Linked DNA regions of Alligator mississippiensis. Each later gene encodes a partner of the first gene's protein in a complex. Links are inferred from orthologs where the notes say so. Each region holds a gene or a part of one and is shown in the gene's direction. Other genes may lie near its edges.

The links. The genes of interacting proteins can lie anywhere in the genome.
Region 2: the proteins of SAMHD1 (region 1) and DCAF1 are in contact, whole or in part, in a crystal structure (PDB 4CC9), measured with the Homo sapiens proteins. The link is inferred for Alligator mississippiensis from reciprocal best matches to the Homo sapiens genes SAMHD1 and DCAF1. Residues at the interface, in NP_056289.2 of Homo sapiens: Ser616, Arg617, Val618, Gln619, Lys622; in NP_001336097.1 of Homo sapiens: Asn1090, Glu1091, Asp1092, Thr1114, Gln1116, Asn1132.

The regions. Positions count from the first base shown.
Region 1 is NC_081832.1:35,303,962-35,311,721, reverse strand, and holds the start of SAMHD1 (deoxynucleoside triphosphate triphosphohydrolase SAMHD1), read left to right. Parts: upstream 1-4,537; 5' UTR 4,538-4,599; coding exon 4,600-4,816; intron 4,817-7,760.
Region 2 is NC_081835.1:46,299,730-46,307,281, reverse strand, and holds the start of DCAF1 (DDB1- and CUL4-associated factor 1), read left to right. Parts: upstream 1-4,479; 5' UTR 4,480-4,649; intron 4,650-7,552. UniProt on the Homo sapiens protein: Acts both as a substrate recognition component of E3 ubiquitin-protein ligase complexes and as an atypical serine/threonine-protein kinase, playing key roles in various processes such as cell cycle, telomerase regulation and histone modification.

The DNA.
Region 1 (7,760 bases):
TCGAATCAGGGGACCAATTAAAAGGTCCAAATTGATTCGAAGTTCTCCGGTTTGATTCAGAAAAGATTTGGAGAGCTTTGGTGATTCGGGCAGTCCCTGCCCACTGCAGCAGGGAGCTGGACTCCAAGCTGGTAAGTAGGAGCCAGGGGAGGGGGGGCTGGAGGAGGGTCCATGGGAGACCCTCCACTGGGCCCCATCCCCTGCCTGCTCCCCCAGCCCCACACTTACTGGGTGCTGCCGGGCAGGGGGGGGTGATCCCCACTGCCCCCCGCTCCCCCATGTCACATGGGGGGCTCCAACACGAGCTCCCAGACCCCCCCCACAGTTCTCCCAGACCCCACCATGCTGTCTTGCCTGCCCTAGCTCCTGGCCCTTTAAGAAAAAAACCCCCCAAAAATCTCCAGACTCACCAGCTGCTACAGTGGCCTCAGGGTTTCAGGGGGCCCATACAGAGCCCCCCATGCATCGCGGGGCAGTGGGGGGCAGTAGGATTTGCTCCCCCACCAGGCAGGAACTGGTGAGTCCAAGGATATTTTTAGTTTTTGTTTTTCTTAAAGGACCAGAGCTGGGGCAGGCAGGGCAGTCATGGGGGGCACAGGCTGGGAGAGCGGAGGGGGCAGGGGGCTCATAGGGCAGTGTGGGGCAGCGGGGATTGCCCACCCCACCGGGCTGGAACCGGTGATTAGGTGCTTTTTTTTTTTAAGTGCCGGGAGTTGGGGTGGGCGGGGCAGCCATTGCTGGGGCTGGGAGAGCGGGTAGGGGATAGCGCCTGTGTGATTCGGAAATTCGGCTGATTCAGCAGCAACTGATTCTCTGAATCAGATTTGGCTGAATTGATTCAGGACAGTGATTCAAATCAGGGTTTGAATTACACTCTGGTGGTGACAGCTGGAAGCTAAAAGGAGCCACCACCACTGTTGCTGCTGCCTGAGCTGCTTAGAAAGGCAAGCTGGGGGCTCTTGTCTCTTATGGGGGATCTCATCTCTTATGGAGGTGCTTATGGGGGGGCCTCTCATCTCTTATGGGGGGGGCTCAGCCCCCTAGTCACCCCATGTTGCAAACCCTGGTGGACCTGCAGCTTTCTTGGTCTTTCTTTTCAGACCAGCCTACTTAGAACCTACTTAGAACCTCTTCTTGTTGTTTTTAACTGCCCTTGTCAGCTGAAGCTCATTTTTTACCTTTGCCTTCCTGATTTTTTCCCTGCATCTCCTGGTATGCTTCCTTGGTGATTTGCCCATCTTCTTATTGCCTATATACTTTTCTTTTGTGTTTGAGGCATCCTAGAAGGCCATAAGGCATATGCTTCCACCACATTGGGACAGTTTCTTGTTGGGCTTCCAATACTGTGCCCTTAAGAAGCTTCTTAGCCCTTCTGGGCCCCTTTAACCTTCAGTCTGTCTTCCTATGGCACCATGGCTATTAACTCCATAAGTCAGTTGAAAGTCATTTTTCTAAATCTAGTGACTTAGGTCTGCTGACCAAATGCTTTCCCTTTCTGTCTCATTAATTTTATCATATTGTGATTGATGACTCCCAAGCTTCCTGTGATTTTCATCTCCTCTACCATTTCTCACCTATTGGTCAGGACAAGATCCAACATCCCCTAGTTGGGTCTCCTAGTTGTATTGTGGATAGGTGTGTCGGCTATAGATATTATCTGGTTTGAGACCCCTTCCCAGGGATTGCCACCCTACCTGTGGCAACAGGGTGGAGCCTAGACTAGGTCATCCGGCCTGCCTATGTGATGTTATATGTCTTGTCTGCCATGACTTTGATGTAATTTACAGGAGGCAGTTCCCCATAGGCGACCCTCCAGGTCTTTCACCCTGTTCTCTTTGTGAGGCTGCAAACCTCCCTTTTACCCCATCCTAACCACATCCAGTCTCCCACAGAGATGGATATTGTCAGGAGTCTCTGATGACTCTAACAGCACGTGTTCTCTATAGCAACCATGCTAGCAGCTATCCACTTGACTGGCCCTCATCTAACTTTGGCTGTGTTCCTGCTGAGCTTCTGCAGCTGCTAACTAGCTAGCTCAGCACTTAAAGTATATTCCTGGGCCTGGTGGCCCTAAATTAGTCGCTATGCTATGGGTGGCAGCCGCTGTTGGCCTGTCACACTGGCATGAACATAAATCTTCTCCCAACCTGGGATCCTCTTAGGATTGTAGCCTTTACCTGCCCAGGCCTGACATTCAAGGCCCCTTTGGCAGTTATACAGGGCTTTATCACCCACTGACCCTGGTCCCTAGGGTCCGGTCACAAACTCTGGGGCCTTCTGCTGCCCCTGGCCTGTTGCAGAATGTGGAGCCTGGGCAAGGGTATAGGCCCCAGACCATGCCCTTACCCCTAAGTATGATGATACTGCCCAAGAGGTAAGCACTGGCTCAGTACCTGGACCTTCTGTTTGATCCACCTCCACACAAGGTCCCTCTGACCTGTAAGTAGTCTCGGCATTGCTGGACCAACTGGATGTGCTGGTCCCTGATCCTGCCTCTCCCGGTCATCGAGCTTGTAGAATAGGGCTCCTCCAAGCACCCTGCTGCTTGGGCTGGACTGGCTGTTCTGCTTCAGCAGCAAGGTTGCCCCCAGTCTGGGAGCTACTCAGTCTGTCGCCTCTGCTGCCTACTGCCACTGCCGCTGTACCTCTCTCTGGGGCCAGAATTACTGCTCTAGATGTGTTCCCCACCAATCTGGAGTGTCACATTGCTCCAGAAGTGCTGCAGCGTCTCCAGCATGCCACTCACGGGGATTCCCCATACCAGGGTGAGTTGGGGATGCTGGCTGTCCCTCTCTTGCTTTCTGCCTCTCTCACAGTAGGCATAAAAATGCAGTGATGTTTGGGAGGGTTGGTTGTAGCCGTGTTGGTCTAAGGACATAGGCAGACAAGGTTCTTTGGGTAAATGTGATATCTTTTATTAGACTAACTAAATAGTTGGAAAAAATGTTCTTTGCAAGCTTTCGGGTGCAAACACCCTTCTTCAAGAATAACAAAGATCTAATAAAACATATCACATTTACTCAAAAAACCTTGTCTGCCAGTGATGTTTGGGCCATTTGTTCTGTCACTATATACAGTTTTGTGGCATTAGGTTCAATGGGACACGAGGTCATCTTCAGCTCAGTGAAATCTGGGATACAGGAGCACTTTGGTGGTTGGGGAACTATTTCACCAGTGTTATCTCCAGTGATGTATCATCATGTTGTGAGATCTTTGATGAATCTGGGCAGCATCAATGTTTGTCATTGGAATGGTGAGTCAGATTGGTGTTTTTAAGCACAGTAGTGTCTGGAATAACAATATGGTTATGTCCGGGTCAGAGTGACTCAGGGATGATAGCACCTCAGGCAGGGATGATAGCACCTCAGGAGACAGGTACACAAGTGGTTGGGATGTTGTGGTATCTGAAGCACTGGGGCATAGCAATTTCTGAAGTGCAATTTCTGATGCACCCCGACATCATCATCACCAATGAGGAAGTCAAGAAAGTCGTGATCATGGATGTTACCATCACCTTCGAGAACCAGCCCCAAGCCTTCACCGATGCCTGGGCTCACAAGTGGGAGAAATATGCCCCACTGACCGACATCCTGAAGAGCCGTGACTACCATGTGATGGTCGACATGCTCATTGTGGGAGTGCTTGGAGCCTGGGACCCCAGCAACAAGAGTGTCCTGTGTGCCTGCCTTGCCTCCCGCCGCTACACCAAGCTGATGCGGTGCCTCATGGTGTCTGACACCATCCGCTGGTCCCACAACACCTACGTCGAACACATCATGGGCCAGTGCCAGTTCATCAACCCCACCAGACCAACTGCCACCGGACCGGACCCAGAGGGGTCTGAACTCCCCTCTGCATGTAATGGACTTTGAGAGCTATTCTCAACCACGGACTACTCCACTCCACCTGGCAAGGACTTCTGCGATAGGGCTGGCTGGCTTGAGTGACTTCTTTGTTCAACCCACCCCCTCCATCATTGCTGACCTTTGTACATTTGTTTGTAGCTATCTTCTTCTCTCTCTCAGCGTCCTGACCATCTCCCTCCCCTTCTCTCACACTGACCCCAGGCTTAGATGACTAACATTGTACTTAGGTAGCCTAGTTGTATTCCTCTCCTCACCCCAATCCCTCTTATGTTAGTCCCTCGCTTGGGTACTCTGTATTTCCCTTATGGCCTTGTCATTCTTGTTTTGTGACTTATTTTCTAAGGATACAGTGTTTCTTTGGAGGAATCAGTGAGAGCATCAGCAGAGGAGCTGCTGTTCAGGTGGGGAGGTATCTACTTGGGTGCTACTCTTTGTAAGGGACAATAACGCCATTAGGTGATAGTGGCAATCTGCGAGGGGGAGGGTCTGTGTGGCTTCCAGGGTGGTTTCAGGAAGACGGGAAGCCCGAGCCAGGGCTACAGTCGTCTCGTACAGTCTGTGCAATGTCAGGGAGGTCATAGCGGCACTGCAGAGGGAGGGAGGCGCAGCAACTGCCTACTCTCCTGCGTCACACGACGCCATTTATCCTGGGTCCCCGCCCCCCACGAGCTGTTCACTGGCGCCGGCGCCGTGCAGAGAGGTGCGCGCCGCTGGGCTGGCGCAGGCGGCGACAATGCAGGGCCGGGAGGTGGCGGAGGACGTGCAGGCCCCTAAGCGGGCTCGGATCTCCGGCCTCCCCGAAGGGCTGTGCACCCCGGAGAAGCGAGTCTCAGCCAGGCGAGCCCCGGCTTGCGCCGAGCTCCAGCCGCGCGACTGGGACCCCGAACGTGTTTGCGACTTCCTCAGCCGCAGCGGCTTCCGCGACCCCGACCTGCTGCGCCGCTTCCGAGGTGCTGGGCGCCGCGCGCTTCCCGCAGCTGGGCGGGGAGGGGGCCTGCAGAGTCCTGCGGCCGCCCGTGGTCTTTGCAGGGTGGGGGCAGGAGACCGCTGGCGCTTCAGCTTGGGCCCCAAGACCCGCCGCTTGCGCCGGCATCGCCTCCCGGGGTGCGTCTGAGCTACAGCGGCTTCAGGCCGGCGGGACTGAGGGCTGGGACCCGCGTGCGCCGGGCAGGCGTTGCCGCGCCCCTGCCGGGCTGTGAGCGCTCAGCCTGAGGGCGCTGCCGGGAATAGGCCGGCCGCTTTGCGTGGCAGGAAGCGCCTGGCCACTTCTGTGCCTGTTCCTGGAGTAGGAGGTTTGTTTGTGTGAGGCTCGTCAGCTGCCCCCGCGCGTCCGTCTGCTGACTCCTCTGCGCCTTGCTGTTTCCTGGCGTGTGTGTACATGGGCGTGAAGTTGTTGCTGCTGCTGTTGTTTAGGTTTGTATCCCACCCTGTCTGGAAAGGCTTAGGGTGGCTTACAGAACGTGACAAAACCCATAAGAAGCAACAAGTCTGCAAGCCACAGCCGAACACTTAAAAACCCCACCCCAGGGCCACCCTTGTGTCCCTGCCTAGCATGTAGGGGTGATCTGTCCCCCTCTTCCCCAGTATCCATCCTGAAGTCACCCTCCTCTCCTACAGAGGGTCTGTGGCTGTTCCTTAAAATGCTTAAATTCCAGAAATCAAATTTAAAAACCTGTAACAGGGAAATGGCAGAAGGATCCTTTATCCCTGCCAAATGGATACCCTACCCTGGAGGCCTTGCAGGCTTTGTAGAGTTTATAGACTAGCTGGGTTAGCCCATATTTTGTGCCATGGCAATAGTGGAGCAATATTGGGATTTTATTGGTGGCTCTTTCAGTTTCTGAGCAATTTTAACTTGGATTTATAAAACCTTGTTAGTTGAGAAGAAAGTTTTGTACATGTACCTTGAGGCTGTGTTGTATAGATGTCTTGATGTAATGGGGTTGAGATGTGAACTCCACACCCATGCACCTTTTCCTTAGGATGTTGGAGCTGAAGCCTGACATTTCTAAATGTGAACATTACCTTTAACTACCGCTTTTTTCAAAGAGAAATTTGAAGCTACTCTTAGTGTGGAAAAAGAGTATCTGCACCTGGGTAGTCAGGATAGGTATCCTGTATGATAGGTATTCCAGGTCTACAGGACTATTATCTTCTCTCCTTCAAATTGCTTGCACCACAAGTAATATGCTATATAGGTAGATGGTCAATATGTTTCGATGGTTTGATGGAAAGTTGATATGTTTGTTTTTCACTTCATTTTGATAGGAGAAAGTTTCTCTCCTCTACCAGTCCAACAGGTGGCTCTTGTGCTGCATACAGCCTTGAGAGAGGGTTAATTTGTAGCCCTTGAGCCACCCAGCTGCTACTCCCCACCCTTGCATTGGTTGCTGCTGGAGCCAGGGTCTCTGAGCTCCCCATTCACTCCTCTGGCTTCCACTTCTTGCCCCTGCTCCATAATTTTACATAATTTGAACTAAGCTTGTAGTGTTCATGGTGTGTACTTCCGGTTCATATCAGGCGTTTATACCATTGACTTCAGTCCCTATGAGGATGAATTTGATTGCTTATTCCCAGTTCCTTGTTCCCAGTTCCTTTTTCAAAGCTAATCTAGACCCAATAAAAGCTTGTTATTAATGAATTGCACATCCTAAAGAGAGAGAATTTCATTAGTTATGTATATGTACTAATTAATTTGTAAAATAATATCCCACATCAAGTACAGAGCTCTAAATGAAGGTCAGATTAGGATAGGATTAAGGGGCAAAATACTTCTTGGGCCACCCCAAACTTCCTGTTGATGCCACTGGGGGACTGTCCCAAAGAATTCTGACCACAGTCCTGCTCAGCCATAGCACAGTTTGACCATGCCAAGCTGCCAATTGACAGCCCCCCCTGACAACTGTACTAAAGTATAAGGGCTCGAAATAAGGAACTGTTTTTTGGGCTGGGATTATGGCTAGAAGTCCTGTTTGAGTCATCCCACAGCATACCTCTGTGGCACCAAGAGGCTCTTCTGGACATGCATGACCAGTCTTGCCCTGGCTAGAGCAGTTTGTTTGTGCCAGGCTGCTAACTGGCAGCCCCCCATGCCTACTGTACTAAGTATAATGACTTGAATAAGGAACTGGCTTTGGGGTTGAGATTATGATTGGAAATTCTTTTTGGGCTGCCCCACACTATGTCTCTGTGGCACTGGAGGACTCTCCTGAACATCTCTGGACAGGGTCTTGCCCAGCCCAGCCCAAAGTGCAGTTTGTGCATGCCAGGCTGCCAACTGACAGTCCCCCCCATGCCCACTGTACTAAGTATATGGGCTCAAATAAGGAACAAGTTTTGGCTGGGTTTATGGTTGGAAATTCTTTTTGGGCCATCCCACACAGTGACTCTGTACCACCAGGGGACTCTCCTGGACATCTGTAGCCAGAGACTTGCCTGGCCCAAAGCGTGGTTAGGCTATGCCAGACTGCCAACCAACAGGACCCCAGCCACTGCTATATATATGGACCCAAATAAGAAATTGGATTTTGGGCTGGGATTATAGCTAGATATCATTCTTGGGCCATCCCTTGGCGTACCTCTGTGGTACCGAAGAACTCTCTTGGACATCTCTGACTGGAGTCTTGCCTGACCCAAAGCATGGCTTGGCCGTGCCAGGCTGTCAACTGACAGCCCCCCATTCCTACTGTACTAAGTGTATACGCTTCAATAAGGCAGGCAAGGTTCTTTGAGTAGATGTAGTACCTTTTTATTAGAGCAACTGAGTAGTTTACTCAGTTGGTCTAATCAGAGCCGCCCCTAAGTGTGTGCGAGGCCTAGGACATATCGGCCCATGCGGGGCCGGGGAGTGATGAACGGCCAGAGTGCAGTGGAGGGGTGGTGAGCGGTCCGAGC
Region 2 (7,552 bases), on another chromosome or scaffold:
GCTCACAGGCTGTATTTTGCCCACCCCTGCAATAGAAGGTACAGGCAGCAGCACTACCTTCTAGCAACAACTGGCGTCAAGTCTTGTTGAAGAATCCAGCAGTCTTCAGAGACTCAAATACATTGGATGTGGTATCACTGATTATCAAGGAGATGACCCATCCCAAAATGGGCATGTACCAAAGACGGCTAATGCTTGAATAAACAGGGTTGGAAGAACTAATACAAGCATTGGATTGAAAAAACTGGATGGGCTAATATTGGGCTGAGCCTCTGGCTAAAAATGTTGCTGTCAAAGTGGATGATGTTGAAGCAAAAAGTTCACCATGAGGTTGATGATTAATATTAACTGGTGCTTGCCCTAGTGTGTGGCAAAACTAGAGGAAGAAAAGCCAGAGACAGCTGTTTTTCAGTTTTCTTCACCCCCTGGTCTTCAGGATGCATGAAATCCTAATAGTTTCAGCTTAATCCAGAGGGGTTTAGGGTTGCTTTCTACCTGTTTTAGACTCCATCAATCCTTTTTCTCTGTGTATCTCTGCAAGAGAATGTGAAGTACAGAAAGAGAACAACAGTATCTTCATTTCAGATAGCAAAGTCCTGTACCATAACTGAATCTCTGAAGTGCAATGCAACCTCTACCTAAAATAAAGGTGTAGCTGGACAGTGGCTAGGTTGCCACCATCAATGGTAGTACCAGCTCAGGCAGTGCTGACTGCTATTTTTGTACTTCCCCTCCCCTCCAGCCCCTCCATTGGCATCTGGTGCCCTGTTTACCCTTTTCCCCGCTTACCTTAGTTAAGCTACTGCTGAAATATGAATTCTAAAAGCACCCTAAACCATGTCTTTGAACTAACTGTGCAAGCCAAAGGGCCTAGGCATTGGTGACTCTGCCTGGTGCCAGACACATGAGAAGGTACTTAATCCTGTTGGACCCAAGGCCCCTTAGGAATTCAAGCCCACATTCAATTCCCATACAGGTATGCAGAAAAACTACTCTTATTTGGGAATACGTCAGTTGGTAAAAGTGGCCCCATACCATCTAGCCCTGAGTGAGAACCCCAAGTGTCCTGTTAAAGTAAGACTTCACTGGACCCACATTCAAATATGGATACAGGAAGTCCTTCATGACTGGTTCCCACCTTTTGGGTAAACAACATAACTTCCCACGTAACAATAGTTGGCATCATCCTGTAGATAAGGGGTCGAGAACCTTCCACTGTTATGGGCCACTGTTTGAACCCAGCCCCTATTGAAGGGTGCAAAGATTTGCAGTGACTTGCAAATACTGCAGAGGAAATACAGAATGAGATAGGCAGCAGTACCTGGGGAATGCCCTCTCTGCTGCACTGGCTGGAGCATGCTGTTGCAGGCTGGATCAAGTCTTTTCATAACTTGCATCTGGCCCATTGGGAATAGGTTGCCAACCCTTGTTGGAGATCATTTTGCCCAGTAACTTTTTTTGTCATACCTTCTTGAGAAGGTCTGATGGTATGATCTAGCTTCTGTAACCATCTTTATTAGAAGTGGAGGATACACGGAAGGTGTCATTGCTGGAAGTACTCCCAGGGTTGATCGCAACCTATTTCTCTCCTTGTCAAATTTTCTCTTTCTTTCTTCTCATGATCCAGGGTTCTGCCTTGTATTTCATTCTTGGTCTTACCATCATCTTGTACAAGTTGACCTTTAGCATCTTTTTATTACAAAAATTACACCAAATATTTCTTTCCTTTCCACTTTTTTTTGGTCACTCTCATTAAGCCTCTTTAACATTCCTCATTTATGATGGAAAATTTCAGCTACCTGAGCATTCCATGTGGTGTTGCCCCTATCAGTTCATTACAACACTTTGCTTTCCATTCCTGTTACTATCACAGCCACAGCCACTGTTTGAGTACTTACTTTCAGCTCCCCCATTTTTAAGAAACTTCCAACAGCCTGGATAATGACCAAAAAAATTTTTTTCCCCAACTATTTTAGTTGGTCTAATAAGAGATATCGGATTTACCCAAAGAACCTTGTCTGAATGGTAACTCGGCACTTCCAGGAGTACACACTACTAACGAGCCAGACGACATGGCTCATTACTTATTACTAACACCCTGAAGAGGTGTTAGTTACACCTTACATGTGAAAGAGGGATGATATAAATTGAAGGCACCTGCTAATAGTCACAAGTGTCAGTGGGAAAGCTGAAACAGAATCAAACTCTTGACTTGGTCCCTTGCTCCATAAAAGGCACAAGACCACGCTTCTTTCCTTGTGATAGAAGCAGCCATGCTGAAGTAGTAATGGACGAACAAAAACAGCTGGGATGATTTAGTCTTCCTATGATTTGACTCTGTTGGTTCAATGTGACTTGCTTTGGTGTTGTGCTTAGTTTCCTACAGGATTAGGAGAAATAGTCTTGTTTCCAAAGCAAGCTGCTGTCTAATGGTCAAAAGTAGGCAAGTCAATGGCCAAATTAAACAGCTTTCAGTGTAACACTCAAGAATGGAAAAGGAAATAAGTTTATTGAATCAAGTAATGTGATACTTAAAAACAAACTGCATGAGTTAAAGCTGGTATCAAAAGTTGTCATTTTGTACTCATACAATATCCCTACTAGTCTAATGGATTGGGCATCCTCCCTTCCTCTGACTTCAGTAGGAAGGTGTTTAAAATGAGCAAGTAGATGGATTCTGTAAGGTAGTCTAAACTGTATGATGAATTCATTACAGACTATAAATTCATTCATTTGAGAGGGGCAGCAGGGTACAAAAACCCCATAGCTTAGGTAATTTATTTTGGAGACATGAAGAACATAGCAAGCTGTAGTACCATCCATCGCCATAGGGGTATTTATAGGTTGGAAGGAATATTCATGTCACCACATAAATTTTTGTATGTGGTAACATAGCACCCACGTGGGTCCACCCTGCTTGCTGGCGCCTTCCCAACCTTGCTTTGCCTCCCATCATTTACTGACCCTAGGGATCTCTCCCCAACAACACTGAAATTGTGGCAGGTAGTCACATCATGGGATGGACTGATATGTCCATACCAACCAGCAATAGCTGGGACCTTCTGCCTTCTCTTGGTACTTCCCCTTAAAGGGGACACCCACATAGGTTGAGGCACTTGGCAGGGCCTTGGCCATCACAGCCTCAGCTCCCCTTTGCTCTACAACTACACCCTCTGCCTGGGACTGCTGTTCAAGGCCTCAGTCTCTGAGTTTCAACCCTTACCTCAATCTCAGGGCCTGAACTCTGGGGCTCATTGCAGGGGGAAGCACTAAAGCACTCCTATTTGTGGCTTCTTCTCTTTACAGCCACAGCCAGTTCTCCAAAAGATCTAGCCAAAACATAAACATCAGCCCAACAGCTGTGAAACAAAAAAAACCTCTCTATTCTGGGCTAATACTTCCCTGCAGGGTGCTAGTTCCCCTTAGCCTCTTCCCTGCAGATCTCTGGGAACTAGGCGGACACTAATCAACCCACCTCCACCAGCTGCCAACTACAAGACCAGATTAACCAATGCCTATTCAGAGACTGGGTTTATATTTCTCAGCCCAGGCCCCTTCCAGTCACCTGACTGACCCTTTTGTTCATCCTTTCCCAGTGCCAGGTGCAGTTAATTGCCTGCCTCATTAGCTACCTGATTCCTGCCCTTTTTTAAAATGTATTCAAGCCCTCCCAGTAACAAGGGCAGGAGTTCCCCGTTGCAGGCAATATATATATATATATATATATATATATATTGTGTATATATATGCATGTGTGCGCACATGTATTCTAAAGTGTCTTGAATACTCTGCACTATGACCATCCCTTTTTAACAGAGAATATAATATTTTTATTTAACGTTCCTGTGGTAGCCCGACTCTGCAAGTGGTAATTGATTGGGCCCGTCTCAAGAAAGTAGTCCAGTGTGTGAAGGCATTATTTCTAGTAATCCTGCTCGTCTGTGGGGTAACTCTAATGGAGCAAACAGTAGATTGAGGGAAGAATATGAATATGGCAATATATTCCCAACCTAAACTTGTACCTTAAGGTTTATGAACATGAATCCCATCAAGTGCAATGTCATGCGAGGGCCGTGTCACATGTTGTGCTGTGATCCGCACATCTGTCGAGCGGTGTGAGCGCGGGGTGTAAGGTGCAGGTGCTCTAGTGTAACACAAGCCGAAAATACCTTCACACCCTTAGTGCTTGGCGCCAGTTTCAGGAGTTAATGTGGAGACAAGCCAGGCGTTGAGAGCTCCAGGAGCCGCCCCAGAATCGCAGTAACAAGACCTTGCTTGGCATGAGCAGCCCTTTGCGCCCCCGCACCGGGGCAGGACCGAGATGATTTAACTCGGCAGCTTCTGCAAACAGCGCCTCATGAGCGGGAGTGAGCACCATCACTTGATCCGCGGGGTCAGGAACCGGCCCCGCCCCCGAGCCTGACGCAGACCAGACCCAGCCTCCCGGCACTGAGAGAGCCGCGCATGCGCACTGTGCCGCCGGCTCTCGAACTGTGTTTCCCTGGAGGCTGCGCGGGCGCCGGCCCCTGCGCGCGCCGTGACGTGCAAAGTGTGAGCCGCCATCGCTGTCGCGGGCTGTGCGGGGCCGAACGGGCAGCGCAGCGCAGCGCAGCGCAGCGCAGCGGCGGGGACCAGCGGGCGCTGGGCAGGTAGGGCTGGGCGCGGACCCCGCGGGGTGGCTGACGGCACCGGCTGCGGCCCCGGCCCCACAGGCCGCTCGGCCCTGGCCTTGCCACTGCGTCGGCCGGCCCGGCCCTGTCCTGTCCTGTCGGGTCCTGCCTCGGGCCCGGCGCGGGGCCGTTACCGCGGGGCGGGGGAGGGGCGCCCGGTCCCCCCTGCAGCTCCCTCCACCTTGTGCCGCCGGGGTCACTCCCGGCTCCTCGCTACCTCCGGGCCTCCCTTCCCCGTCCGTCCGCGCGCCCGCCCCCTGCCCCGAGCGTGGCGCTTCCTGCCCACGTGGGGGGGTGGTGACTTGCCGCCCAGCTCAGCCCTCTTGCTCGAAGGACCCCTTGTTCCTCACCTATCCTTGCTGCCATGTGCCGGGTGGGCTGCTCTGCCCAGCCCTGCCCTGCCATTGCCTCGCCGCTGCCTCCATATGCCCCCCCCCTCTCCCCCCTCGCCCCGAGGGGCCGGGGTGAGACCTCGGGCCTGCCGCCTCCTCCTTCCATGCAGTGTAGTTTTGGTAGTGAGTGGCTCTACTGTTGGAGCTGCTTTCCTTTTGGAGACTGTTTTCATACACTTATTAATTGCAAGAATTAAACTGGTACAGTCCCTCTTATAGGCATGACAGGTGCCTCTGGGCTAGTGAACCTCTTCCCTGATTAGGAGTCAGACATGCTCAGGAAAGTGCGTTTGTGGGAGCGCAGGATGTCTTTGATTACACAAGTGTAGTTACAGTGTTACAGGGCTCAGGCATAGACCCATTCTTTGTCTTGCTTTTCTCCTACTTGTTTGATTGGGGATTGTTGTCACCCCTTGAAAACCAGTGGACTGAGAATGGAGTGATTTTTCTCTTGACACCAACATATTTGTTCCTTGTTTTAATTATTTTTTTGTTACAGTTGGTTGACAGCCCCTCTGAGGTACATTTCATAGAAGCTTAAATGTAGAGAACTAAATTATTTAATCTTTTGAGCTGGACTTCCAAAATTTGACTCAAGTTGGTGAGTGAGTGAATACTACATTTTGACGGACAAGTAGAACAGTGCTGGTTTTTTAGATCATTATTTTTACTGTTTGTAGGGCCTGCAGGCAAGTCGTATTTGCTTCTTGATGACTGAAGTGACAAGCTGAAAAAATAGGCCATCATCTTGAAAGTCCTGCTTCTTCTAACACTAAGATGTGATTTCATTCGTGATTGACCATGCAGATCTCTTCTTTGCTTATAGACTGTGTTCAACAGTACAGTTGTTAATCAGTGTTGGCATTTGCATAATCATTCTTAGGTTGCAACTTTACCACCCTTTTTAAGAGTGGGATAGTTGTTGCAGGCTCTTTGCACACTCAGGCAGCCAGAGCTTCATTTGTTTATGCAGCACTTGCTGTTTAAAAAAAAATAAAAAATTTCTACCATTGCAGTTAGATTTCACGCTACCTTAGACTTTGTCTACAGTGGTTCTTTTAGAAAACTTAAATCATTGTTGAGAGCAGTATTATATTTCTTGTTTTATCTGGACTGGGTTAGAGTGTGGTTGCTATAATGTGGCTTGACCTTGTCCATTATGCTGATGGACAAATTTCATAACTCTGTTAATCTTCATTAGAATTTATGTCTGACGTTCTGCCACAAGGTTGATTAAAATCATTACTTATTTTTTCTTAAACAATATGATTTCTTGTTATTTATATGTTGCTAATTGTTTCCTTTTCATTTTAAATTTTGCAGTGCAGCTTTTGAGCTTGAGTTTCATATTTATTATCTGAAATTCTAATACTGTAGGTACCTTATTTTAAAAGATTTTCATGTAAAATGGTTATATCTCCTGAAACAGTTTAGAGCCTTGTTGTAATCCTTACCAGGAGAGTGCCACAAAATTGATAAGCAAACAGCTTGTGCTGTTTTTGCAGCTAGCATTCCCTTCCAATATGTTGCAGTTTCATAAAGTTGAAGCTGAAACATTTCAGCTAGATTATACTATTTAGGCTTTGCAGTTGGAAGCTGTGTCCCAGAGTCACTCTGTGCCACAGGCACGAAAGGATTTGAGTGCCTATTTCTTGTTGAAATCAGTAGGATTATCCGTGTTGCCTAAACACCTTTGAGGACTTGGGCCTTTTTTTGTGAGAGACCTTTTTCAGTCTTTTGGCTTGTATATTAATGTATCATGGGAGCTTGTCTTCTTAAGTCTCAGTTGATTTTTATTGTTAAAACTGAAGTCATTTTATTTGAGATGACAGAGACAAATAAAATTGCCTGCATAAGTGCTTGCAGAATCGAGGCCTGGCTTTCAGTATTTTGCATTTTGCTAATGGCAAGTTTGAAAAATGTGATTCCCAAATAGTAATGGTATTAAAGAAATGTAACGTTATCATTTACTTAATTACAAATTATAATTTGAGGCTGCAACTTCAACATCATTTTTACAGAATTTCAACTTGATTTTTAAATCAGTGATTAAAATGCTACATCCTATTCTTAGTTCCTGAAAAGCAGTTTAGGGGTTGAAATTTGTCAAGTGCCTGTACAAAGGAAACAATGAGAATTAGGGCTGCTCTAATAAACATCCTCTACTGCAGCTTAGGGGCACTTCTGATCACATTTTATTCAGTCTGCGCTCTTGTTTTTTCTCTTGAGCCCTTTGATGAAGTTCTTGAGTGAGGGGAATGTAAATCTGGCAGGAATTGATTTGATCATTGCATCTGCAAATGCTATGCACTTGTCATAAAAATGCATGTGCTGGGAAAATTGTGGTTAATGCATGAGAAATACAAGTTTGTGTTATACACCTTGGTCTCTTTACTGATGGCATTTAGCATGTAGTTACAATAAAATAAATTTGAAAAGGTAGTACACAGAATTGAGGAAGGGAAAACCGAAATCCTCCCTCCCCTGGCC